Linked DNA regions of Macaca mulatta. The protein of the gene in region 7 binds, or shares a complex with, the protein of the main gene of each other region. Links are inferred from orthologs where the notes say so. Each region holds a gene or a part of one and is shown on either strand. Other genes may lie near its edges. The genes, in order: GEMIN4, BUD13, SF3B2, CWC15, SART1, SNRPG and SNRPF.

What was found.
Region 1: SNRPF (region 7) and GEMIN4 share a complex: the UniProt entries of both Homo sapiens proteins name them as parts of the SMN-Sm complex. The link is inferred for Macaca mulatta from reciprocal best matches to the Homo sapiens genes SNRPF and GEMIN4.
Region 2: SNRPF (region 7) and BUD13 share a complex: the UniProt entries of both Homo sapiens proteins name them as parts of the minor spliceosome. The link is inferred for Macaca mulatta from reciprocal best matches to the Homo sapiens genes SNRPF and BUD13.
Region 3: SNRPF (region 7) and SF3B2 share a complex: the UniProt entries of both Homo sapiens proteins name them as parts of the minor spliceosome. The link is inferred for Macaca mulatta from reciprocal best matches to the Homo sapiens genes SNRPF and SF3B2.
Region 4: SNRPF (region 7) and CWC15 share a complex: the UniProt entries of both Homo sapiens proteins name them as parts of the minor spliceosome. The link is inferred for Macaca mulatta from reciprocal best matches to the Homo sapiens genes SNRPF and CWC15.
Region 5: SNRPF (region 7) and SART1 share a complex: the UniProt entries of both Homo sapiens proteins name them as parts of the U4/U6-U5 tri-snRNP complex. The link is inferred for Macaca mulatta from reciprocal best matches to the Homo sapiens genes SNRPF and SART1.
Region 6: SNRPF (region 7) and SNRPG share a complex: the UniProt entries of both Homo sapiens proteins name them as parts of the U7 snRNP complex. The link is inferred for Macaca mulatta from reciprocal best matches to the Homo sapiens genes SNRPF and SNRPG.

What each region holds. Positions count from the first base shown.
Region 1 is NC_133421.1:2,295,180-2,299,479, reverse strand, and holds the start of GEMIN4 (gem-associated protein 4), read left to right. Parts: upstream 1-1,500; coding exon 1,501-1,510; coding exon of another isoform or gene 1,511-1,903; exon of another isoform or gene 1,904-3,358; intron 3,359-3,372; exon of another isoform or gene 3,373-3,633; intron 3,634-4,300. Other genes in the region: uncharacterized protein LOC721152, read right to left, coding at 329-1,903. UniProt on the Homo sapiens protein: The SMN complex catalyzes the assembly of small nuclear ribonucleoproteins (snRNPs), the building blocks of the spliceosome, and thereby plays an important role in the splicing of cellular pre-mRNAs.
Region 2 is NC_133419.1:117,438,531-117,442,030, forward strand, and holds part of BUD13 (BUD13 homolog), read right to left. Parts: intron 2,507-3,500; coding exon 2,422-2,506; intron 358-2,421; coding exon 1-357. UniProt on the Homo sapiens protein: Involved in pre-mRNA splicing as component of the activated spliceosome. As a component of the minor spliceosome, involved in the splicing of U12-type introns in pre-mRNAs.
Region 3 is NC_133419.1:8,350,164-8,353,663, reverse strand, and holds part of SF3B2 (splicing factor 3B subunit 2), read left to right. Parts: intron 1-670; coding exon 671-778; intron 779-1,068; coding exon 1,069-1,211; intron 1,212-1,296; coding exon 1,297-1,398; intron 1,399-3,500. UniProt on the Homo sapiens protein: Component of the 17S U2 SnRNP complex of the spliceosome, a large ribonucleoprotein complex that removes introns from transcribed pre-mRNAs.
Region 4 is NC_133419.1:95,759,036-95,762,535, forward strand, and holds part of CWC15 (spliceosome-associated protein CWC15 homolog), read right to left. Parts: intron 2,674-3,500; coding exon 2,566-2,673; intron 1-2,565. UniProt on the Homo sapiens protein: Involved in pre-mRNA splicing as component of the spliceosome. Component of the PRP19-CDC5L complex that forms an integral part of the spliceosome and is required for activating pre-mRNA splicing.
Region 5 is NC_133419.1:8,451,985-8,455,484, forward strand, and holds part of SART1 (U4/U6.U5 tri-snRNP-associated protein 1), read right to left. Parts: intron 3,369-3,500; coding exon 3,242-3,368; intron 3,119-3,241; coding exon 3,013-3,118; intron 2,756-3,012; coding exon 2,678-2,755; intron 2,563-2,677; coding exon 2,463-2,562; intron 2,374-2,462; coding exon 2,231-2,373; intron 2,100-2,230; coding exon 1,893-2,099; intron 1,195-1,892; coding exon 1,070-1,194; intron 983-1,069; coding exon 867-982; intron 774-866; coding exon 631-773; intron 1-630. UniProt on the Homo sapiens protein: Plays a role in mRNA splicing as a component of the U4/U6-U5 tri-snRNP, one of the building blocks of the spliceosome. May also bind to DNA.
Region 6 is NC_133418.1:54,435,964-54,440,022, reverse strand, and holds the start of SNRPG (small nuclear ribonucleoprotein G), read right to left. Parts: upstream 2,801-4,059; 5' UTR 2,713-2,800; coding exon 2,681-2,712; intron 2,565-2,680; exon of another isoform or gene 2,234-2,564; coding exon of another isoform or gene 2,226-2,233; intron 1,039-2,225; exon of another isoform or gene 938-1,038; coding exon of another isoform or gene 891-937; intron 1-890. UniProt on the Homo sapiens protein: Plays a role in pre-mRNA splicing as a core component of the spliceosomal U1, U2, U4 and U5 small nuclear ribonucleoproteins (snRNPs), the building blocks of the spliceosome.
Region 7 is NC_133416.1:103,187,271-103,191,358, reverse strand, and holds the start of SNRPF (small nuclear ribonucleoprotein F), read right to left. Parts: upstream 2,801-4,088; 5' UTR 2,679-2,800; coding exon 2,676-2,678; intron 700-2,675; coding exon 574-699; intron 1-573. UniProt on the Homo sapiens protein: Plays a role in pre-mRNA splicing as a core component of the spliceosomal U1, U2, U4 and U5 small nuclear ribonucleoproteins (snRNPs), the building blocks of the spliceosome.

The DNA.
Region 1 (4,300 bases), on a different chromosome or scaffold from region 7:
AGGCCGTCACTGGAGAATGGTCTCCTGCCCTCAGATCTTGGGCGTTTCCACAGCACACTGTGCCCCTCTCTCCTGCCAAATACCTACATACGCTCTTGTAATAGGAGGGCTGGGAACTCCACCCAAAACCATACAAAAAGCCAGTCTGTGTATTTGGACGCCTCCCCAGCACTCAGTCACCGAGTTCCTCCAGTTCCTCTGTTCCAACAGCAGTCGGTCACTCTCACGCAGTTTAAGTGATTTATTGATGTCTCGGCTAAGCTTGCGACAGTTTCAGGACGTTTCAGCCATCAAGGTCTAAGAATCCCTTTCCATTCCCGAGGAGCCCTCAGCCAGCCTCTTCCTTCTTCACCTCCTCACTCTGGCCGCGTAGCCCCTCATGGCGTCCATCTTGGACACCCCTTTGTTCGCGCTCCATGCCGCCCACTTCCTTCTTCAGCTCCTCACTCTGGCCGCCTAGCTCCTCACGGCGTCCATCTTGGACACCCCTTTGTTCGCGCTCCCTGCCCCCCACTTCCTTCTTCTTCAGCTCCTCCACTTTGGCCGCGTAGCTCCTCATGGCGTCCATCTTGGACACCCCTTTGTTCGCGCTCCAAGCCTCCCACTTGGCCCTGGCCTTCACGTCTGAGGCCGGAGGGGCGGGGATGCCGCAGTCGCCCTGGGTGGCCTGTTTGTAGAGGCCGTAGATCAGCAGCTTCTCCGGATCGCTCACAGGACCCTTCAGCTGCTTGAGGGCCGCGCGCGCCAGCTCGAACTCCACTTGGCACATGAGGGGGTGGAGGCGGTGCCTGGTGCTCGAAGCTGGAGGTGGAGAGTTGGAATGGCGGTTACTACTCGATCTCAGGGGGGAACGCAGGCAGGCACACGATGTTTGTGTTTTCTCAAGCACAGGCTGCAAGCTCGGGGTCCCGCGTACTGGCGCCACCCCACCACGTTTGGGCTCACACGGTGCATTTTCTGGGGAGGAACAGCCGTCAAAAGCGTCTAGGATCCGGGCCGCTGCTGTCTGAAGGGGGCGGCGCCGCGCGGCAGGAGCGCGTTGAGGGACTGTGTGGGGGGCGGACTGGACGCGTGGGAGTGGAAGGCTCGCGCGGTGCGGCCGCGCTGGGTAGTGGGCGGCCCGCGGGAGGCGCTCGGTGGCGGTGAGCTGTGTGCGGGGCACGCCCGGGGTTACCGGGTGAGGGTGAATGCGGGGCCGGGGACTCGTGAGCCGGACCCGCTGAGACCCCGGAAGCGGGCCAGGGCAGGGGACGGTGCGGAGGGTCTGGGGAGCGACGCCTGGTACCTGAGGGTGGGTGGGAGGCCTCTGCCGGAAGGCGGCGCTGTGCGCTTGGCGCGCTCGTTCGTGAGGACTGCGCGTGCGCAGGGGAGACTGTGGGCGGGGCCTGAGCGCCGCCGCCGTGGCGCCTGCGCCGTCCATTGTGCTGTGCGTCCCGCGCCGCGTTCGCGTTCTCGGAGTAGAGGGGGCGTTAGCCCCGCTCGGCCGCCGGCGTCGCCGCCATGGACCTAGGTGGGTGTCGCGTCTCCTCAGCCCCGGGCTGCGTCTCGCGATGCGCCACCGGGACGGTGCCGCCCCGTCGCGTCTCCTCCTGCCGCGCACGCTCGCTTGGGCCCGGGCCAAAGCGTCCACCACGTCGGGGCGGGTCTGGGGGTCCCCGGGTGGCCTTGACGGGGGTGGTCCGGGTCCCGCTGCGCGTTGGGCCGGGTCTTGCCCACTCCGCGGGAAAACACCGAGCAGACGTAAAGTGAGAGCCCCTGGAAACGCCCGGGGCCCGGGGCTCGCGCACGTGCTTTGAGAAACGGGCTTTCTCCGAGCACCCCCGGGTGTCCCGGCGGCCTCATTTTCTGAACGGCAACTGCGTTCTTGAGCAAGCGTCTTAGGCTCCAAGTGTCTTACGCTCATCAGGTTTCCTCATCGACAGAGCTGGGGGAATGACAGTGTGTCTCCCCACTGAGTGTTGGGCGACTTTTCATGGAGATCGCCGAGGCACAGTGTCCCGTGCAGGGCTGCGCGGGTCACACCGCGGTTGGGGCGGCTGTGTTCCTGAGGCGTCACTTTCTGAACCTGCGTGCGTCCTGATTCAGAATCTTGCAAGGTCTGGGAGAGGGGGAACCCTGGAACTAGGAGCTCCCTGCTAAGCCTCGACACAGGCTGCTAAGACCAGGAGGCTGTTCTGGGAGAGCTGGGGGTGAGGCACCCCGAGATGTGTCAGCAGTAGTAGGCTGGGGGGAAATGGTCTGTTCCCCGCCCCCAGAGAGCTCTTCAGGAGCGGTATGGCAGAACTCTTAGGGCTTGGAGCCCCTTAGCCGTAATTGCTTCCCAGCCCCACCACATCCAGGCGGGGGCACCCTCAGCAAATCGTTTCTGCGCCTCAGTGTCTTCTTCTCTAAAACCGGAATAATAGTCCTCAAAAGGTGGTTGTGAATCGAAGAGATCTTACATGTGCACCACCTAGCACCGTGCCTGGCATGGAGTAGGCGCATAATAAACCTTAGAAGCGGGCTCTGGTAAGCACTAATTAACCATCCGTGATGAAGCACCGGAGTGTTTTCCAGCTAGTAACTGACTTACTACTTCAAACTGTGGGTACTTACTGCGCCTGGAAGGCAGGTGTTGAGGGCCAAACATCTGCTCAGCTAATCCAATAATGCAATAAAATAAAATTTACAGCGTCAGGAGGGACCATATTTTGGGACCCTGGGAGAGCCTCCTGAGCCAGAAAGAAGGGCCGTAACCCCCAGAGAGGTCCCCTCTGCAGCCTGACCTTCCCTGGGAGTCAGATTCAGCCACTGTGAGCTGAGATGGATTGCCTCCACAAGTGGGTTACATAGTGCTGAACCCTTGTCCTGCTGCTGCTCTCATAAATGGTGGGAAGGGTAAGATGGTCCTTAGTTTCCTGGAGTCAGCGTTTTCTCTGCTGGTGTCTGGCCTGGGAAAATGGGGAATATGAGCTCTCGTGGGCATGAGAGACTGAGGAAGGAGTAGCATCTCTCAATCCTAGGAGAGGGGAGAGGCCTCAGGAATGAGGAATAGGAAGCAGTATTTGTACCCTCGTTTTAGTTTCTAGGCCAAAGGAAACATGCCTGATAAAGGCCTATATCCTTTGATGTTTCTGAGCTGGGGGAGGCAAAGAATAGTGACAAGATTCTGGTCCTGCCAACTATGAAAAGGTTTGGGGAAACCAACATTTACTGAGTACCTAACTAGACTCTGTAACCCGATTCTTATTGTAGCTGTATTTATCTATCATAGCGTCCCGGAGAGATGGGGTCAGGAGATAGCAATACCAACCCCCTAGAAAGGGCTTGACTGGTATATATCACATGATCCTCAAAGTTATAACATGAAGTCTGTATTATCCCCACATATGCAGAAGGAAGGCTTGGAGAAGCAACTTGACCAAGATTACATCCTTTTTTTTTTTTTTTTTTTTGGAGATGGAGGGGGTTCTCATTATGTTACCCCAGCTAGTCTTGAACTCCTGGCCTCAAGGATCCACCTGCCTCAGCCCCGCCAAGTAGCTGGGATTACAAGTGCTAGCCACTGCACGTGGCCAGAATCACATTGTTTTTAAATGGCTGAGCTAGGATTTAAACCCATGTCTGATTAAACATCCCAAGATGCTTTCCATGGTAAGTCTGTGTCAATCGTTAGTTCCCTGAAGGAAGGCTTAATCTAGCACAGTATTTTCTGTATCTACTCCCTGGTTTCTCCCACAGAGCAGGGCCATGAGTAGCTTGTTTTTGACCAGAAGGAGCTGTGGGGTGGACTGTTTACCTGAAAGGTAGAAGAATGTTTGAGGCCTGTTCCCAAGGCAAGGTTGTAAAGGGTGAAGGCAGGGCTTGTCTGATTCCTTCTGTGCCCATTACTCCATGGCTGTGTGATTGCTCTGTGCCCATTACTCCATGGCTGTGTGATTGCTCTGTGCCCATTACCCTGTGGCTGTGTGATTGCTCTGTGCCCATTACTCTGTGGCTGTGTGATTGCTGTGTGCCCGTTACCCTGTGGCTGTCTGATTGTGTGCCCGTTACCCTGTGGCTGTGTGATTGCTTCTGTGCCCGTTACCCTGTGGCTGTATGACTGCTTCTGTGCCCATTATCCTGTGGCTGTGTGATTGCTGTGTGCCTGTTACCCTGTGGCTGTGTGATTGCTTCTGTGCCCGTTACTCTGTGGCTGTGTGATTGCTTCTGTGCCCGTTACCCTGTGGCTGTGTGATTGCTCTGTGCCCTTTACCCTGTGGCTGTATGACTGCTTCTGTGCCCATTACCCTGTGGCTGTGTGATTGCTTCTGTGCCCATT
Region 2 (3,500 bases), on a different chromosome or scaffold from region 7:
GAGAGGGATCTGGTGAATCATGACGGACTCTCCTAGGAGATGCACCTGAAGAATTATGCTGAGGCCTCCTGGGAGGAGAAGGATCTGGAGAATCATGACAGGCCCTCCTTGGAGGTGAAGTGTCTGAGGAGTCATGACGGATCCTCCTGGGAGGAGATGTGTCTGAGTCATGACGAGCCCCTCTGAGGGGAGAAGGATCTGGGGTGTCATGACGGGCCCTCTTAGGAGATGAATCCGGGGTATCATGACGGACTCTCCTAGGAGATGAATCTGGGGTATCATGACGGACTCTCCTAGGAGATGAATCTAGGGTATCGTGAAGAAAATGCCTGTGTGAGGGTAGGTCTTCATTGTGGCCTAAACACAAAAAACAAAGAGTCAGATTCCCACAAATGCTCTGTCCCTCTGTCCACCCCCACACCCAGTTTCAAGACATGCTCCAGCAGCACATACCTCAGAACTGCTCAAAAAGCCCAAAAGGCCTGCACAGTTTTCTTGCTTAGCGGCAGCAAATCACCACTCTGAATATCTTAAGAATAACCCCTCCACCTACCAAGTCATAAATTTGCAAAGCATTTTCAGTACATTTTTCATATTATACCCTTTAAGGTAAGCAGGGCAGGTACCCTTGTATTATGAACAGAGCCTCTGTTTTCAGCTGAGGAGCTGAGCGATTTCTTACCCAAGGTCACAGCTACTAAGATGAAGACACAGGCTAGAATCCAAGTCTTCTAACTCCCAGTCCAATGTTCTTTCTAACACCTCATTTGTGCAGAGTTCCCAGCTAGTGGCTCCTACTGATATTTTGCCTAGATACTTTATAGTTTGTACTCACTCCTCTTTCAAAAGGTAAATTGACTAAAACGGTGAGTATCAAAATCAAATGCTGTTAACTATTTAATCCATTTCACTGTGCTCTTTGTTAGAGAGCAGAAAAAATCACAAAAAAAGAAAGGAGCAAGTAATTACCAATCACCTACTGTGTGCCAATGTTTTATAGAGATTACCTGATTCAATTCTCATAAGCCTAGGACATAAATATTGTCATTTCCATTTTATAGATGAGGAAGTTAATACTCAGAAAGATTAACTTGCCAAAGTCATATTGCTAATAAGTGGTGGAGGAATATTTAAATTCAGCTCTATTTGACTCCAGAGTCCATATGCAATCTTTAAAATACGTAAATCTTTAAAGTTAAAATACAAGTTTGAGACCTTCCATTTTCAAAGGCACCACAGAATGAAACATCTATAGCATCTGGAATGGTTTCAAAATCCAGTTCTTCCTCTACCTCTATCTCTTGTCATTGAGCCCCATAGCCCAAATAAAAATAAAGGCTGGGCAGGAACCAATGAACACTTGCTAAATGAATGAATTAAACCAAGTCACCTCCTTTACTTTGGGGAACAGGCCTATCTGATTGGAATCCACTCCACAGAGAAAAGTATGATGTCTGTGGGGGGCCTAACAGTAAATCTGAAGGAAGTAAGGGTCAGAGATTGGTAAACGTATTTCCAGTAACAGATTGGGATGAGGAAGTGAAAGCAAGGCAGAAGAAAAGGAGTAAGTGAGTGAGTGAGTGAGTGTGTGTGACTGACTTTCTAAACATTCAGATACCGAAAAGCACTGTGTGTGTGTGTCTGTATGTCTTCCTAGACAAACAAGATATGGAGACCAAAAGACTCTCTGTGGAAAAGAATTCTGGTTAGGCTACAAAAATCAAATGCCTACTAGCAATTAAGCAATTCTACAGATATTTATTAAAGGCAGCTCCTTGTGCCAGACAGGGGACTATCATGGCAAATAAGACCAGTCTATGCTCAAACAGATGTGACACACAAACACTTTTTATCCAAGTCTCAAGGACTCAAATTTTTTTCAAGAGAGTTAAGTTATAAATATTAGCTTAGGAAGAGTCTAAAGTGGGCAGGTGGAGGGTAATGCACTATAAAATACCAATATTTAAGGAAAGAAGAGAGAAATTTACTAACACAAACAGAACAAAAAACATTGGTCCTTGACCCCCCCAGAAATGAGTTGCTTCATTGTGGAAGAGGACAGTGGTAGCTAAAGTCCCCAAATTCTGTTCCTGTTTCTTGTAAACTCCTCCCAAAGTCTTGCCTATATACCAAGGGCTCTCCTATTCTGAGTCAGAGGAATGGGTGCTCACAGGCCTCCAAATTAGTCACCAACCTCAGTAACCCTAATGCCAAAATACAAGAGAAAGAGGAATATCTGGTCTCTAAGTTCCTATGTCTTACTACTTCTGAAGAAGTCCAGCTTCCTTTTTCCTGCTTTATTTTTCAGGATCAATGACATGCTAAAAAAAACTATGCATTCCTCTAAAAGAAAAGTGTAGAAAAGAAAAAAAGACCTCCCCTACTAATGGAGATTTAGATTTATCTACTGTTGGAACTCACCTCCCAGAAGCTTCCATTTGGCACTGGAACGAAAGGCCTCCATCTGCTTTACCTCTTCCGGCCGCTCATCCACAAACTCTGCCACCTGTGGGAGTAAAGATTTCCTATGCTGAGGAAATCCACAGGATCCAGCCAAGAAGCACTGTCTCAAGAACCTGAAGTTACAACCATTCCGATTCCTAACCTAAGGGCGCACACATATCCAACATGGTCATGAAGAAATAAGTAGGGGTCTTCAGTTATGCTAGCTCCATAAGCACCTGATTGTCACTGTATTAGTTGGATAATTCAATTTCCCCGCAAAGGTTAATTTCTTTCATTACAAACCTTTTTATTAACCTGCTAGGTACACAACAGCCACTTGTAAGCTAACACTAAATTCCTATACACTTTTACTTCTACATTAAGAGTGAAAACATCGGTGGCCCCCCATCATGCCTAGCACTAATCAAGGACTTTGGGTTTCTATGAAACCTTTCTTGTTGTAGGTAGTCACAATAATAGATTTTCTTGAATACAACCAAAAACAGCCACTGAGATGTACACAGAATCATTAATCTTTAAGAGCTAAAACCACATTTCTTATCTTCCAAACTTCCGAACGAATCAGAATCTTCTCTATAGTATTCCTAATAAATGGCCACTCACCCAATCCCTTCCTGACAAGGACCTCATTATCTTACAACGCAGTCCACTGCATTTTTCAAAAATGTTAGAAAGTTCTTAGTTTTACTGGTCTCATCTCTACCTTCCTATAACTTCTTTGAATTGATTCTAGTTCTGACCTCTGATGCAACTGATCCCTTTTCCACATGACAAATTTTCAAAGAATGATGGCATAATAAATCCTAGTTACAGAGTAGCAACTATGTGCAAGGTACTGTGTTTTGTGTTTTACTCATATAATCTAACTCGATTCTCACAATAACCCTGCAAAGAAAGGCTCCACACTACTGAATAGCAAACTGACTCAGAGAAGTTAAGTAACTTTCTCAATATCACAAGCTAACAAGTGGCAGAACTGGAATTTAAATCCAGGTCGTAACAGCCCTCTACTTCTCCGAAAATCCTACCATCAT
Region 3 (3,500 bases), on a different chromosome or scaffold from region 7:
CTTAGCCAGATGTGGTGTCTCAACACCTGTAATCCCAGCACTTTGGGAGGCTGAGGTGGGAGGATCCCTTGGGGCCAGGAGTTTAAGACTAGCCTGGGCAACATAGTGAAACCGCATCTCTACTTTAAAAAAAAAAAAAAGAAAAGAAATAATTTTTTTTTTTTAGTTTCACTTCAATCTATCAGAAATAATTTTATCTCAAGAATGTCTTCAAATTTATTCTTATTTTAAAGTAATCATTAAAAAAATTGACAGATAAGAGTCATTAAAGTAAAAAAGTAGTATTGTTAAACTTTAGATAGAAACTTCCGCCCCTTAAGATAAATAGATTCTGAACAAGCTAGCCTTCCAAAGTTAGGAAAACTCAGTAAGAAATTGAAGTCATGTTTTCAACGTACGTATTTTGGTTTCAGACAGCAGAGACTCTGCCATGACAGAAGAGGTTATTAGCATACTTTCTGCCTCCTGTCTCCTTATCCTGTTGCCTCCAGATTTTAGTTGTTTATTAATTTTGGTTTCTAATGCTTCATAACATTTAATTTTATTCTGCAGTCATAATTTCCAGAGTTCCCAAGCGTCAGCTCTGTACTTTTGAGTGTGCCTTTTCTCTAGGGCTTCAGAATTTCTTTTGCAGCTAAGGAGTGAACTGATTGTGCTCACTGTCTTGCAGAGCTGTTCCTTTGGGTACCATGCTGGTGGCTGGGGCAAACCTCCGGTGGATGAGACTGGGAAACCGCTCTATGGGGATGTGTTTGGAACCAATGCTGCTGAATTTCAGGTATGGGCTATGTACTGGCGATCTTGGTTTTACTTAACATCATGAAGGTTAGAGATTGTTGGTTTATAGCTTCATTATCAGGGAGTTGCGTGTTCTGACACAGCAGAGCCTGGAAAAGGGCAAACATTTTCCTGAGATGTTAACGCAAGCCCCTCACTGGAATTTGAGCTCTAGGTAGGTAGGGATTATTGTCTGTGTGTTGACTCTTAACACCCCTTCAGCTTAAAACAGCCTGGTACATAACAGGTACTTAGAAAACATTTGTTGACTGATTAAGTGATTTCTTTCAGACCAAGACTGAGGAGGAAGAGATTGATCGGACCCCTTGGGGGGAACTGGAACCATCTGATGAAGAATCCTCAGAAGAAGAGGAAGAGGAAGAAAGTGATGAAGACAAACCAGATGAGACAGGCTTTATTACCCCTGCAGACAGGTGGGGGAAGCAGAGAGTGCCTCTTGGAAATGGCTTATCTTTGGGGGCCTTCTCTTTACTCCAGAGCTTGTTCCTCTCTTCACAGTGGCCTCATCACTCCTGGAGGCTTCTCATCAGTGCCTGCTGGAATGGAGACCCCTGAACTCATTGAGCTGAGGAAGAAGAAGATCGAGGAGGCGATGGATGGGTGAGGGTGCCAGACAGGGCTTCACTTCCCGTTGGCTGACTGGCTGACTGTTGTTCCTTTCTCCCCCATCCCTTTTTAAAAAATTATTGAACCAACTCTGCCAGGCGATACTCCAGGCAGGGAGGAGTCAGCAGTTGAGGTAAACTGGTAATCAGAGAACAAGATACTTTCAGATGTAGATAAGGATGCTCAAGCAGAGGAAACTGGGTAATGGGATGGGGTGGCAGGGAGGCCTTTGGGAAGGCCTCATTGGGGAGGTGGTGCTTGAACTGAGACCCGAATGGAAAAGCGCCAGCCACAGGATCATCTGGATCAGAAGTAACAGTAAGTGCAAGCAAGTGCAAAGGCCCTGAGACAGGGATGCGCTAGTATTTTGAAGCTCCATTTTTAGGTACTTGAATGTGTGGTGTTGTTAGGTCTTCATGAATTGACCCCTTTATCATGAAATGACCCTCTCTTTATCCATTCTGCTCTTTGTTCCCTTTTTCCTGTTTTTATACCTTCTTTTGGATTACTTGAACAATTTCTATGATTCCATTTTATCTCCAGTGTTGGTTAATTAGCTGTTAAGTTTTTGCTTTGTTATTTTAGTGGGTGCTCTGGGGTTTATCGTAGATCATGTCTATATCAGGATCTAGCTTCTCTTGATGTCACACTGCTTCCAGATGGCATTAAGAGCCGCGATAGTGTACTTCGCTCTCCGCCCAACTTTGCACTGTGTTATCATGTATTTACATGTTATAAATCCTGTACTGTATAGTTATTTTTGTTTAAATGGTCAGTTATCTTTTAGGGAGGTTTAAATAAGAATCATGCATGAAGCCATGTAGTTACCATTTTTGTTTCTTTCATTTCTTTGTGTAGATACAGGTTTCTATCTGATATCATTTTTCCTCTGCCTGAAGGGCTTCCTTTAATGTTTCTTTAGGGGTCATGGTGGCTTACGCCTGTCATCTCAGCACTTTGGGAGAAGGCTGAGGTGGTAGATTGCTAGAGTCCAGGAATTTTGAGACCAGCCTGGGCAACATAGTGAGACCCCATTTCTACAAAACAAACATTTCTTATATTGTGGGTCTGCTGGTTTTGAATTCGTTCAGCTTGGGTAGTCTTAAAAATTCTTTATTTGGCCTTCATTTTTGAAAGATCTTTGCCAGGTATAGGATTCTAGGTTGACAATTTTTTTTCTTTCAATACTTTTTTTTTTTCTTTTTTGAAATGGAGTCTTGCTATGTCACCCAGGCTGGAGTGCAGTGGTGTGATCTTGGCTCACTGCAACCTCCACCTCCTGGGTTCAAGCGATTCTGCTTCAGCCTCCTGAGTAGCTGGGATTACGTGTGCATGCCACCACATCCAGCTAATTTTTATATTTTTGTAGGGATGGGGTTTTGCCATGTTGCCCAGGCTGGTCTCGAGCTCCTGGCTTCAAGTGATCCACCTGCCTTGGCCTCCCAGAGTGTTGGGATTATAGGCGTTAGCCACCACATCAACCTTCTTTCAGTACTTTTAAGATGTTGCTCCAGTGTCTGTCTTCTTTCTTGCATTGTTTCTGGTGAGAAAGCTGCTGTCATTCTTACGTTTGTCCCTGTGTACATAATGTGTCATTTTTATTTGGCTGTTTTTAAGATTTTATCGCTAGTTCTAACAATTTGACTGCAATGTGCCTAGGTGTAGTTTCCAAGTGTTCCTTTGCTTGGGGTTTTTAAAGCATCTTAGATCTGGGTTTTTAGTTTTTATTAATTTGGGGGAAATTTTGGTCATGATTTCTCCAAATATTTTCTCTGTTCCCTTCTCTTTCCTCTCACCTTATTCCTCTGTTAAGTTGTCCCACTGCTCACTGATGCTTTTCATTTTTTTTTTTTTTTTTTTTTTGAGACGGAGTCTTGCTCTGTTGCCCAGGCTGGAGTGCAGTGGCCGGATCTCGGCTCACTGCAAGCTCTGCCTCCCGGGTTCACGCCATTCTCCTGCCTCAGCCTCCCGAGTAGCTGGGACTACAGGCGCCCGCCACCTCGCCCAGCTAGTTTTTTGTAATTTTTAGTAGAGACGGGGTTTCACCGTGTTAGCCAGGATGGTCTCTTATCTCCTGACCTCGTGATCCGCCCGTC
Region 4 (3,500 bases), on a different chromosome or scaffold from region 7:
TCAGAATTTGGAATATAAAATGTCTAAAATCCTTAGCTATCACTTCTAGATCTACCTGTTAACATGCTATCTTAAGCTAAATATAAATCCCATTTTGCTGTGTTTTGGGGATGACAGAAATCGATGACTTAATAGATCAAGGAAAAAGAGATGGTGTGGAAATCATTTTTTAAAAAGTTATTATTTTAATAACCTAATTTTTCATACAGATTACTGATATTCATTTCAATATTCAAATGTAAACAATGAATTTCATTTTTATGGAGAAAAATAAAAATGAAAATAGGAGGTGAGAAGATCTAACTTGTAAGGAAATAGGAAAATTCCTTTACATCACTGGTCAGAATTTAAATAAAATCAGGAACTATCCATCACAGATTAAGTACAAGTAGCTCTCTAAAAGCTATATATTTATTTGTAACAAATTATACTGATGCTTAAAGGGAAAAGATATTTCTCTGAAATACTAGAAAAATAGGAGCTTAGGTATACAATATATCCAAACTTATAATATAATGTGTATGACATACAAAGGTCATGGACATTTTATGTTTGGAATATTATTTCCTTTGGAGTTACTGAATGATTGTCACTAACAGCCCTGGGAAAAAAAGGCATAAACTCTTTCAACATTCAAACAGCAGGCATACTATGTTTCATAATATAAGCTAGTTGTCAGATGGCATGTAGGTCAAATCCTAACTACCTGTTTTTGTAGATATTTTATTGGAACATTGCCACACTCATTCGTTTATGTACTCTGTGGATGTTTTTATGCTACAACAGTGGAGGTGAGTAGGTGCGACAGAGGCTCCATGACCAGCCAGCCTAAAATATTTACTACCTGGCCCTTTACAGAAAGTGTGCTGACCCCTGACAAGGGTTAAATGGTTTGAAAAATCTTAAATTTGGGACGTGGCAAAAACCAGCCAATAGAAAGGGAAACAGGGCTAAAAGAAACTAAACTATCATTCAACTCCAAGAAATATCAACACGTTTTATTACATGAAACTCACAAAACTGCAAGGCCTTCTGTCTAAAATGCTTATCGTCCCTCAAGGTCAACCAAAAGCATTTAAATTGCTCATCTCTTTATGTGTCCAGAACTATTAGGCAAGCTAAAAGAATTTGGAACAATTGCCCTCTAGTGGTATGCAAGTGGGATTGGGAATGTTTTTATAATTCTTCGACTTAAAAACTACATGTAAAAACTATAAGCTGTTATAGGAATTATGCTGTCTTATAATACAAAACTTTGATGAGAATTGTATTTTAAAATGCCTTCCTTCTTCCAATCTGAATTCTAATCATCAAAGTCCATCCCAAATTCTACCTCTTTTCTGAATTCTTCCCTGGCCCTTCTGATTCACATGAACTCACTTCCCTAGATTCCTGGTATTGACCATGTAGTATATTTTTTTACTTTCTTTTTTAAAAACAGAACAATTCTTGCATCAAATAAAATTTTACACAGAAATCTACAAAAAAGCTGTGCTGCTCTGGTTGAAAACATCCCTACCTGAATGTCTTATAATGTGTCAAATTCAGTATGTTCAAAACAGATCTCATCAACTACCTCTTCTCTCTGTATAAATATGGCAATTCTTTTGCATTCCCTGTATTGATGTACAGCACCAACATTTACCTACAAAGTGAGGGTCCTCTCTGCTGCCACAATCAATCAGTCACTTTGTCAACTCTACCTCTTTTATTTTTTATTTTTTCCTGCTCCCCTTCCCACTTTGACCTCCTTGATAATCAGTTCTATCAGCATCTAATTACTTATCTTAATTCCAACTCCTATCATACAAGTTAAGAGTCTCTTAATTGGTAAGATTACTGAAACAGCCTCCTAACTCAGTTTTTTTCCAATCCATCCTGCGTATTTTTGCCAGAGTAATCTCTCTAAAATGCATATCCAATTTTATCAATCTCCTGCTTAAATCAACCAGCTCCTCATGTCCTTTAGAAAAAAATCTAGACTCCTTCAGCATTGTTTTGCAAATCTCTAATGCTCTGACTTGTGCTTGCCTCCTCAGTTTCACCTCTTATTATCACTCTGGGTAATTCATTAAGAGTTTTAACTATCTTTAAGTTTTATATTTTTTCCTCATATTGTGTAAACGGAGAGACTGTGGGGGCTCAGCAAAGTTAGGTAGCTTGACCTAGGTTATATAATATCTACTGACTAATTGCCTTAATAGTACCTAGGCAGGAGACAGAGAGATAATCTTTGTAGACCATGACTATATCTTGATCATCTTTGATTCTCCTGTCAATTAACAGATATTGACTAAATGTTGAACAAATGAATAAACTAGTGAATGACTAGCAAGCTGGTGAATATTACTCAATGTATCTGAACTATTGGGAAATAATTTTTAACATAACCAGAATACCTAGGATGTCACAAAAATAATAAGATTTATAGATCTACAAGTGCTATAATATTTAGACACAGTAAGGGAGATTTCTAATATAAGAAGGTATTACTTATATTCAAAAAAATTTCTACTTTAGTATATGTGAGAGGAGAGATGTAAATATTTAACACTTTGGTTTTACCTTCCTGGCCTGCTCTTCAGCTCTTTCCTTTTTAATTTTTTCCAGTTCTGCAAGAAGAGCTGCAGTATCATCATCATCACTTTCTTCTTCAAAATCTTCATCTTCTTCCTAAAAGAACAGTGAGAGCCCAGAAGATTGGAGGGAAAATATACATTACCAAAACACAGTACATATGTACAATATATCACCCTAAGAAAGTCAAAACAATTTTATGTAGCTCAAAACAACTTTAAGCTAGCAAGTAAAGATAATCAAAAGTGCAAAAAACTGCTAATTTCTCAGAAGAAAATAATTTCAAATGAATAATCATTAAATTTCACTTGAAATTAGGTTTCTTGTTTTAACTATTATGAGTAACTCCATCATTTAACTCTAGAATTAACTGCTGATATGTATACACAGGTAGATATTACTCATTGGATGCCACTCAGGTTTTTCACTGTCCTGTATGTAGAAAACTGCAAACTGATTATAGGCTCTAGGGTCCCACAGAATTTTATCATTAACTGATGTGCTAATCCTTAAAAACCTTCTGCTTAGATTACTTCCCTCACTAAGCACAGAGGGAACCATTAAGTGTACTCCACTTATAGAAAGGGGCATATCTAATGTGGAAAGGCCTCCAGGTACAACTCTAGAGGGCACTGTTTATAGGAAACCCAGTGTGAAGAGTGCCCTGTAGAGGTGTGTAACACACCATAGTGCAGTAGTTTAGTACAGGACATTATTTTGCGGGAAAGCATGTCTTTTAAGATTCCTTCCATATTTGGTTCTCTAGAGACCAAACTTGTTCTTAAAAGTCCCACAAAATAATACTTTTTGTTTTAAAATCAACTATAAAGTTTAGCACTGAGGTCAGGGTTATATTTGAATAACAGCAAGCAAATATATGTCACTTCTTAAAGCCAAAGGCATAACAAGTATTTCAGAAAAAC
Region 5 (3,500 bases), on a different chromosome or scaffold from region 7:
AGCCACTTCCCTGAGTCCAGGGCCCCGTGGCTGTCCTGTTCACCAATGACCTTCTCGGCCCAAGAACAATGCACTACCCACAGCAGGCACTCAACAAACATGCACAGGAAGAGACAGGCCAGGAAAGGATCCCCTACTAAAGCAGGCATCTAAAAACTTTTGCAAAACATGACTTTTAAACAGAAAACATGACTTTAACCAGGGCTGGTCGCAGTGGCTCACACCTGTAATCTTAGCATTTTTGGAGGCCGAGGCAGGCAGATCATGAGGTCAGGAGTTGGAGACCAGCCTGGCCAACACGGTGAAACCCCGTCTCTACTAAAAATACAAAAATTAGCCGGGTGTGGTGGCAGGTGCCTGTAATCCCAGCCACTCAGGAGGCTAAGGAATGAGAATCACTTGAACCAGGGAGGCGGAGGCTGCAGTGAGCCGAGGCCACGCCATTGCACTCCAGCCTGGGCGACAGAGCAAAACACTTGTCTCAAAAAAAAACAAAACCCAGAAAACAAAAAACAAATGGAAAAGAGGCTTCAGACAGGAATGTGGCTGTTGCCTATGACACATGTGCTCGTGAGGACAGGTGACTGCTGACGCACTGGTAGCCCCAGGCCTGCCCATGCCCAGCCTCACCTTCTCGCCACTGTCTCGCAGCTGCTGCAGCTGCTGTAACTGTCGCAGCCGGCGTCCCTTCTCCAGCTGCTTCTGCAGCTCCAGCTCTGCCTCGTCCTCCTCCAGCACCTGCGGGGACCCCGGCTGTGGAGCTCCACCTTCCTCTGGGGGATACACAGGGGATGCCTGCTCAGACAATCTCCTCCAACCCAGGGCTCCTGTCCCTGCCCCCTCCCACCCCCTGGCCAGGCCCTCACCCTCATCACTGATGTCCATGTTCTCCACTCGGGTGTCATCCGACGGCAGGGGCTGAGGCACGGGCTCCTTCTCCTCCTCCACCTCAGACACTCGGCGGCGACCCCGTCCCCGCAGTCTGAGGGAAGGAGGCCTCTCTGGTGAGCACCGGCCCCCGGGACACCCCAGCCCAGCCCTCTCACCCCACCATGGTGTCCAAGCCCACCTGGAACCAAAGTCCCCATCCTGAGTCTGGTCCCCGAGAGGCAACAGGTCATCCGCCCGCACTACGACCTCCTTCTCCTTCTTGCGGATTTTCCTCACCCTCCGCTTGGTCCTTCTAAAGGCCACCTGAGGGGAAGAGGGAGGCGTGGGGCGGGGCGGGGAAAGGCAGGCCACCACAAGCCCGCGAGGATGAACACTTCTTTGGTGTTCTTCTGTGCTAGCCAGTGTCCTGAGCACTTCTCACACATGAGCAACACGTGGGGTGGTTACTATCTCCCTTCCACTGGTGATTAGGGAAACTGGGGCACAGAGAGGTTAAGTACCTTCCCCAAGGTCGCCCAGCTCCTAGGTGGGAAAGCCGGGCAGTCTGGCTCCAGAGTCCTGCTCTTACCCACTGAGCAAGACGCCTACTACACCAGCTGACTACCTCACGTTCACACAGTCACTCTGCGGACAGAATCCACGCACACCTTTCCAGTCACCCCTCAGCCACACTGTCACTCATCCTCACAGCAACCTCAGGAGGTGGCTCCTATCACTGCCACTCCAGATGGGGCACCCCAGGCTCACAGTTAAATGGCTTACCCAAGGCACAAGCTGGCAGTATGGCAGAGCAGAAACACCAACTGGGGCCCATCTGGCTCAGCAGCCCTGACCCGTCAACACCTGGTGCCTCCCCAGGTTGCCATTTACTGCTTGCCCACGAGGCCAAGCGCTTTGTGAACAGAAATACTTGCCCTCTCTTCCCAGTGCCTGCGGGCAGCGCAGGAGCCCCAAGGGGAGGGAGAATCATGACCCCAAGTACAAGGCGCAAGAGGGCTCACCATCTCCTCGGGTGTGAGGTACTCGGAGGCCAGCCGGGGCCCCACCGTGCTCAGGGACTGAGCCTGCAGCCGCAGCTTGGCCCGGATCTCCTCCAACTCCCGTTCCCGCAGGCCATCGGCCATGCCCCCCTGCTCCAAGCGGAAGGAATGCGGCTGCTCCCCCTCAAGCTCTTCGTCGTACTTGGACAGGATAGAGCGAGGTTTTTGCTACAAGGTAAGAGGTACAGGTTGGGACCCAGGGTGGCTCCTGAAAAGCCACTGAGCCACCACCTCCTCAGAGCCCCTATTCCCGACATTCTCCACCCCAGCCCCCGCCGCCCAGCCTGCTTGGGCCGTGCCTGCGCCAGGTCGTCCACACTCTCGTCCTCGGCATAAGGCAGGTAGTCGGGCTTCTTCTTCCGCAGCTCCACATTCTTCTCTGCCCGCTCCTTATCCACCAGGTTCACGTTCACCAGCACGTCCTCCTCCTCCTGCAGCACGCCTGCGGGCAGCACAGAGCAGTGGCCATTCACACTTGTCCACAACTCAGCAGAGGCTGTGCCCCGACCCAAGGCACCCAGCTCGCGTCACCTTTGTCCTTAAGGGTGAGGATCATGGTCTCCCCTTCTCGGAAGGAATCAATGGCATGCTCCACGGTGAGGCCCTGCAGGTCCCGGGCACTGTACAGGTCCTAACAGAAGAATCAGGCGAGTAAAGAACCTCCCTCCATGCGCCCAACCTTGGGATTCCAGCATCAAGGCCGCCAGTGTGCCCTGCACCACCCACCCCGGCTGCTGCAGCCTCACCTGCCGTCTCTGCCCGAACTCCTCCTCTACCAGAGTGCTGACACCAAACTCTTGGTCCATCTCCTCCAGTAACTTTGCCTATGGGACAGGGAGGGGTGACCTAGGACCTCAGGCCACTCAGCACCACCAGAAAACACTCAGGGCTCTACCAAGCGGAGTGCAAAAAGAGCAGGCCTTGCAGGAAAGTTGCTGAGAATCCAAAGCGGATGCTACCAACCACAGCCCATCCCCTCTCCGAACCCCGTCTCAACTCTCTGGGGTCCACCCCCTGCCTCAATGCCCAGTCAGGCCAGCAAAAGCACTGGGCAACCACCCCATGCTGCCCAGGTGCTCACCCTCTTCTCTGCCAGGTCTTTCTCCTTCTGCAGCTGCCGGCTCCTCTCGATCCAGGCTGCAGTGTCGTCCAGCCAGGGATCATCCTCTCCTAGGGTCTTTATCTTCCTGAAGAGGGGAGAAAGTGATGCTCCAGGAGCCCAGCTCCTGCTCCCAACCCCACTCAAAAGGCAGCCAAGGATGGTGGCCTCCCCAGCCCTTCCCTTGCCTGCCCTGGCCAGGACCCCTCACCCCAGCTTTTGGTTCAGCAGGCGCTTCTCCTTGGCAGCCGCCAGCTTCTCCCGCAGCTCCTCTCGCTGTCGCAAGGCCATAGGATTGATGACATCGGCTGTCACGGGCTCCTCCTTGGTGCCCGCCTCTGGAAGGGGGGCCCAGACGTGAGGCTATGCCCGCCCATGGCTGGTGGGGAGAGGAGGGAGCCACTCACCCTGCCCCCTTCCAGCTCAGGGGGCCAGAAGGGGTCAGGACAGGAAGGAACAATCCTTCACCT
Region 6 (4,059 bases), on a different chromosome or scaffold from region 7:
TGAGGTCGGGAGTTCAAGACCAGCCTGATGAACATGAACATGGAGAAACCCCGTCTCTACTAAAAAAAAAAAAAAAAAAAAAAAAAAAAAAAAAAAAAAAAATTAGCCGGGTGTGGTGGTGCATGCCTGTAGTCCCAGCTACTCGGGAGGCTGAGGCAGGAGAATTGCTTGAACCCGGGAGGCACGGGTTGCGGTAAGCCGAGATTGCACCATTGCACTCCAGCCTGGGAATTAAGAGTGAAACTCCATCTCAAAAAAAAAAAAAAAAAAAAAAAAAAAATATATATATATATATATGTATATATATAAAAAAAAGTAATATATATGTAATATTATATGTAAAATTATATATGTAATATATATTACATATTATATATAATATATACACACATTTATGAAGTATGATGAACAAAACTATTTTAATAAGATACATAAAACATATCAAATATAACACAAGATCTTATACAATCTTTACAATGACTTTGCATGCAATTATGGTCTGTCATTTCTACCGTTTTTACAGATGGAGAACTAGGCTTGGAAAAGGTAAATCAATTTTTCGAAGTCACACAGCAAGTGAGAGCAAACACAAATAGTTCAGTCTGACTGGAGAAGAGAACACGTGAGTATTAGCAGCTGTAAGGTTTGGCGTTTGAATGCTGGCTTAAGTATAGATTCAGTTTTGCATACTGTGATAAATTATTAAAGCTGTCACTGGCAAGACCACTGTGGCAGCAAATTTTAAGAAGTGGAAGGAAGAATTCGGTTAAGCCAGTGTATCTCAACTTCTGCACTAATGACACTTGGGACCAGGTAATTTTGTATTGTTGGGGGCAGCCGAATAACGGTAGGATGTTTAGCAGCATCCCTGGTGTCACCAGATTCCTTACCCCCCATTTAAGAACCCCTGAGTTACGCTAAGCCAGAAGGAGGGCATAATGGTGTAAAAGAAGATGCTATCAGTGAGAAAGCAAAGAAAGAAAAAATTTGAAAGTCATTTTGACGGCAGATCTCACGGGATTTCACAATTCATGAAACCTATGGATGAGAAGAGAAAGGTATTAAAACTAGCTTCCTTCTCTGAAATTTTCAAAAACTATGTTATGAATCACAAATAAAATCTTAGATTACAAGTAGAGAATGGTGCTTTTGTTTAAAAAAAGAAAAATCACCATTTCACCAGTCCCTGATGAATCCAGAGGATACTTACATCACCAACTCACCAATAAAATAACTTTCAGATAAAAAGAGTAATTTTCACAATAATTTCTAACTTCTATTTTTCTAACGTTGGGCTATGTTTTAATAATTAATTCCTTAACAGACCTAACTAAAATATACATGAAAGTAGTTTTCATACAAAAGATGGCTTTGATACAAATATACCTTTAAATGCAATATTATTATTATTTGAAACAGAGTTTCGCTCTTGTTGCCCAGGCTGGAGGGCAATTGCTAGATCTTGACTCACTGCAGCCTCCACTTCCCGGGTTCAAGCGATTCTCCTGCCTCAGCCTCCCGAGTAGCTGAGACTACAGGCGCGTGCCACCATTCCTGGCTAATTTTTTGTATTTTTAGTAGAGACGGGGGGTTTCACCATGTTGGCCAGGCTGGTCTCGAACTCCTGACCTCAGGTGATCCACCCACCTTGGCCTCCCAAAGTGCTGGGATTACAGGCGTGAGTCACCGCCACTGGCCGCAAAATTATTAAATAGGAACTTTTCCTTATGTCTGACTTCCAGGGGCCTGGTAATAAATGAACTATACACAAAGCCAACCACATGCTACACCAGAAAAAATTGATTCCTGTAAAAATTTTGCATCCTCTGTGCAATCCAATAAATACATGTAGAATTCCAGCATCAGGGAGTACAAGCAAAACAGAGACGTACTGAGGAAACACATAACCTGTTAAGTCCAGTCAAAAAGTATTTGAGGAGTTTAAAGTTTTACGTTGAGTCCTACATAAATTAAGGCTCTCCTCCTTAAAGTTGTTTGTCTTTACTGGGTGTGTAAAAGAAACTTAAAAAAATTAGCCTTCTCTGATTAGAAAAAAATTAATGTTCTAAAAAAAATTTTATTTTTTAGAACATTAATTTTAGAAATGAATGTTCTTACATAGTTTCAATATCAGAGCAAGATAACACATGACATTCAAGCTTAATGTAAAAATAGGCAACAAAAAAGAATGAGGTTTCTAAGTAAAAGCTCAAAGAAACACCTACAAACACATTCTCTAAGGCTAAAGTGGCTTTTGGATTCCGATGCCTCACGTAGTTTTAAAAACACTTCCCTTCCATCCCCTCCTTAGTTCCTTTAGAGAATTTCCCCCTCTAGCCGTCTATCTAGAATATGATGCTATTAGAGATGTTCAACAAAAGCTGGCATTGGAGATCTTCAAGGAACGAGGGACAGCGCCGGGTGACTAGGGGCCGGAGCGCGGGACAGAGAGACTAGTCGGCCAGAAGGAGGTGCGGTGGCTGCCGGCGGTAACCACGCCAATGCGCGAGCTCTGCGCGGGCTTCACGTCTCATGAGCCGGAGCCTGGCCGGGATGCCGGCGACCTCGGACCGGAAGAAGAAATAAGGTGAAGCGGCTCAAGCCATTCGGCTTGAAACACCAAGGGACTCGGGGGACGCAAAGAAGCGACCACTTCGGTTTGGCTCTCACACATACTTACTTTTTCAACTCGGGAGGGTGAGCTTTGCTCATGGCGTATACTCCGCGGACTCACAGACGCCTTGGAACTGAATGCACGGCTTCCCTCAGGCTCCCGCGGTAGGCCCGGCGTCTTGCGTTTGGCGTCATCGACCTAGTTAGCCAATCGATTGTTGGCAGTTTTTAACACTTCACATCGCGATATCTGAGCGCCTCGGTCATTGCTGAGCTTCCGGTTGCGTCGTCAGCTATTGGCCAGGACAGAGGGGTGGGCCCTCTAGGCACCTTTCTAAATTCGGTTTTCCTTGGGCAAAATTGAGATAACGGGTATTCTGACGATGGAGTATCCGTGTTCTTGTCTATGGAACAGCCAAAAAAAAAAAAAAAAAAAAAAAAAAAAAAAAAAAAGCCTGGCGCCGTAAATCCCAGAACTTTGGATCTCTTGAGCCCAGGAGTTCGAGACCAGCTTGGGCAACATAGGGAGACCCCCTCCTCTATTTAAAAAATAAAATTGAAATACTGAGATAACAGTCCCCTCTCTAACTTCTGGGCAAACCCGGCAAATCCCGCATGTCTGTGGATCGTATCGCTTGTTTTCTTCATCTAAACCAAAATACCAAATAATGATCCCTGGAGGAATGGGCCTCTATATTTCTTTTTTTTTTCTGAGACAGTCTCGCTCTGTCCCCCAGGCTGGAGTGCAGTGGCTCGGTCTCGGCTCACTGCAAGCTCCGCCTCCTGAGTTCACGCCATTCTCCTGCCTCAGCCTCCTGAGTAGATGGGACTACAGGCACACGCCGCCACGCCCGGCTAATTTTTTGTATTTTTAGTAAAAATGGGGTTTCACTGTGTTAGCTGGGATGGTCTGGATCTCCTGACCTCATGATCCGCCCGCCTCGGCCTCCCAAAGTGCCAGGATTACAGGCGTGAGCCACCCGCGCCCAGCCGGGCCTCTATATTTCTTTGGCAGGTATCCTACAGCATACTTTCAGACCAAGTAGGGTTCCGGTAACATGCAAATTAGCAGCCTCTGCACCATTTGGAGAGTAAGGTGACTGGGCCTGTCTCCAAGAATTTCAATCTATTTCCGACTGATGGGTCTTGCAAAAAAAAATTTTTTTTTGTTTTGAGATGAGGTCTTGCTCTGTCACCCAGGCTGGGATGCATGATGTGATCATGGCTCACTGCAACCTCGAACCCCTGGCCTCAATCAATCCTCCCACCTCAGCCTCCTGAGTTGTTTAGACTACAGGCGCAAGCCACTGCACCCAGCTAATTTTTTTTTTTTTTTTTTTTTTTTTTTTTTTTTTTTGTAGAGACGACGTCTTGCTTTGTTGCCCAGGCTGTTCTCGAATTCCTGGCCTTAAGAGATCCGCCTGCCTCCAGCTCCCAGAGTGCTGA
Region 7 (4,088 bases):
TTAAAAATGGTTAGAGTGGCAAAATTGTAATGTATATTTTACCACAATAAAAAGAAAATTAATTACAAAAAAAACCCCACCAAAACACATGGCTGAATCATTTACAGAAACTCATTTGACAGACATACAGTCAGTTCAATTTCTTCGGCAGATGTGTCTTTCCCCTGAAGGAATGAATTTCCTCAATAACTTTGGTGTTGTGCCTTTAGCATCATTCATTAAAAGACTCATGAATTTCACTTGAAAACTTTCTTTCAGGGCTAAATGATGAGAAATGTTTTGTTTTCTCCAGCAAAGTAGTGTGTTTCCCTTACAGTATTATTATGAATTAAATGTCTGAGCTCTTCTTACTTTAACTACTAGGAATAAAATCTGTGGCTGAATTCTGGTTTAAGTCCATGTCTTGTACCTAGTATATCATAGTATCCTCCCTGGCTTTGACTTTATTTTTTAATTTTGCCGTACATTTGTCAATTTAATTGTATGTATTCTTATTAGTCAGACTAAACCTTTGAGCAATAAGGTGAAGCAAACTAAATGCAATGTTATGACCTTTACAGCTCTTTAGCTTACCTGCATGTTCATGTAGCCATCTACAGATACCAGATAGCCCTTGTACTCCATTCCCCACTTAAGTTTCACCATCACTGGCTTTCCTGTTAGTCCATTGAGGAAAGGTTTGGGATTGAGGGGTAAACTCTGCACAAAGAACAAAAAAGGATCCAATTAATTATTTTTCCTCCCACCACCAACTCTCTTCTACTAAATACCAATATTTTGTGGTATGCAAATGAAGAAAACTCTTGACTCATTATTTTAGTACACAATTTTCACTTTCATTTATTGGAGAGTACCAGGGAAATTTAAATATCCAGTTAGCCAGTATCACCTTTAACCCATCAAAACAAAATACTCACTATTCACTTAAGATAACACCGACTACATACATCACTTACTGTTCTGAGCTCTAAAGAAACAAAGATAAAGGCACTTAAAAAAAAAAAAAATGCGGGCCAGAAAGGGTGGCTCATATCTGTAATTCCAGCATTCTGGAAGGCCAAGGCAGGGGGATCACTTGAGGCCAGAATTTCAAGACCAGCCCAGGCAACATAGTGAGACCACCTTCTCTACCAAAAATAGTCAGATGTGGTGGTGCACACCTGTAGTCCCGGCTACTAGGGAACAGAGCAAGACCTTGTCATAAATAAATAACAGAGTCCCTGTCAAGAAGTTGGAGATGGGGAGGGGGGCTCCTCACATACAAATAATTATACTGCATATTGCAACATAATAAGAGGAGATATACTAGGCACAAGGGTACCGAAGCAATCCAGGGAAAAAAGGAAAGGTTGCCTGAAATAAGTTAACCTCAGTTTTAAAGAATGAGAATTTATTTCCAGAGCGGGAAAAAATCCTGTTCCAGGCAAGGCTAGCTACTTATGTAAAAGGAGGGAAGAGTGAAGCAACAAGGTGATTTTGGGGACATACAATTCAGCATTGTCAGTCAAAGTCCCAAATATAAGACTACAGAAGGAAGCAGAGGGCAGATGACGCTTGACAGTCTTTAACTGTGGAAGCTAGGGCTAGGTCCTAAATGACTTTGTCACTAGCACTGCCTCTTATAGCAATCACTTAAAGTTTGCTCAGCAAACCATTAACATCTCCAGTGAATTCGGTTTTTGCCTTTTTCTGCTCACTCACCAGTCAAAGAAAGAACAGAACTAAGAAACTTGGCTACTAACCCCCTCTAACATAAACATATTCGGAGTGACTTGATGCGGCGATTACTCCAATAACCTAATGGGTCTCCAGTTTTCATTCTCCAATTTATTATCCACCACAGCAACATGATTTTTTAAAGTGCACATCAAATTGTCATATTTCTGCTTAAAATGATTCAATGGCTTCCAACTCAATCATTTTCAATTGATTTGGAGTACAATCAAAACCTCCCAATACAGCCTAAGAGGTCCTGTCCAACGCCTGCTCCTCCGACACCATCTCGTAACCACTCTTCCTGCAAGTGGCTGTACCTTTTTGTCAATTTCTCCAACTGACCAAGCTTTCTTTCCGGCCGCAGGTCTTATGCGCCTATTCTCTGTGCTCGGTACACTCCTCCTCCTGCTCTTTAAAGGGTCTATTTCATGACACTTAGGCTTCAGGTTAAATTCCACCTCCTAGGGAGGCCATCTCTGACTAAGCCTCTAAATGTCTAACGCGCACCCTCACAGCCTCCTGTCTGCATTCTTCTTAGCACTTATTACTTGCAATTGCATATTTGTTATTTTTTGACTGTCTGTCTTCCCCAACCGAGTTAAACTAGAGCATGGCCGTATCATTACTTTCATGCAATGAAAGTGAATTTTGGAGTGTGGTTAAGTGGGAAGTGCAAATTCTCTTTGAGTTTTACCCCGACCCTGTAGCCACAAATAAGAATATCCCAAGCCCGGATTCAAACAAAGAGGAGAAGGCACGGGCACTCCTAGAAAAAGAAAGGCATCGGGAGGAGCACGCGCCTCAGAAATCCTAAAAGCAGAGTGAAAGAAGCTGGCGACCGGGTGCGCGGCGCCTCACGCGGATGAATGGGAAACGCGCGAAGCAACCACTAGGCCCCGCGAGGTGGTCTCCCTCCTTCTCTTTCTCCCCGCTTCTCCCGCCGTTCTCGTTCTCCTTACCATCGTAACCACGGCCGAATATTGCAGGCTACTCACTGCCGACCAGGCTGCCGCTTGTCCCTCGTGACTACAGCAGGTACCCCAGGTCCCGAGCCGCTGAATTTCAAGAAAAATGGCCGCCAAACAGGAGTGTGACCTTTCACCTCCCACCACGGCCCTTCCTGCCTCTGTGATTGGACGAAAAGAGATGCGCGCTGATTGGAGGAGATGGTTGGACCAGTATCTCCTGGCAACCAGCAGCGGCTTGAGTTTGCGCCTGGCCGGCTGCGCGCGGGTCTTGGGAAACCCGCTCTGAGGAGCAAGGTGAGGCAGCCAAGGACTGGAGGCAGGCCGGTGTTGTAAATGTGCGGTCTGGGAGAGGCTGTGTGACGGATGTGACTTCTCCCCAACTTGGTTAATGGGGATTTTACTTTGTCTTTTTACACCCGTGAGAATGTTCAGGATCCCAGAGTTCCTTCCTCACTCTTCCAACAGGTTCCATGATTTGGGGGCGCCTCTGCCGCAGGCCGTTTCTACCTGAGTATTCTCTCTTCTGCAACACCCATTTCAACCCCTTTTAAAGGAATTCGGGGGTAGCCAGACAAGACTAGGGGCGGTGAAACGCACCGAAGGGAGTCGGATACAGAATTTATTTTAAACGAGGTCAGGTTGTGTCTGGGATACGGTGTCATGTCCCCCCACCCCCCACGACCCCGCCGGCCCCATCTTTCTTTTGCATCGCCAGCAGAGACTGGCACGGCCTTCTTACGTGCATTTGAAATTACCTAAGGGCGTAAGCAATATTTCCGCTGTCACGGATTAAAACTTTCGACGTAACGGTGTTATCTGAATCTCACTGGTTTTTGTCGTAATCCTAGTGAGTTCGGCTCACTCTGATCTGAAATGCTAAATGCAGTTCTTGGAGAACACGCCCTTTGGGAAGTAACGCTTTTTTGCGGCCCTGAAGAGATGGATTTGAGGTTGAGGATGAAATGTTGGTTGTTGAGGCACTGTGGAGCAGTGGGCAAGACTTTGGAGAGGGCCTGCATTCGGAACCTGCGTCTATCAGGCGCAGCCGGTGTTGGGCAGTGTCTTAACCCTCAGGGCCACTGTTTCCACGGCAGGAACGCGGCTTTAAAAACGGAACCATCCTCAGCGTGGTTGCGAGAATTTAACCTAAAACGGGGCTTGGCCTTGTAAAAGCTCAGTGTTTCACATAAGTGTTGAACACTGACAAGACAGTCATTGTCAGTGTAGTTTTTACCAAACAGTTATTAGATTTATTCACCCTAAACTTAAGTGGATTTCTTCCTTAGTTTGTATATTGTTTCATGAACTTTAAGTCTTTGTACAGACTTTGAGTTCCTACTATGTGTCAGGCTCTTTCAACAATTGTGGAAATCTTACCTTACCGTCTGATTCGGGGTGACAGCC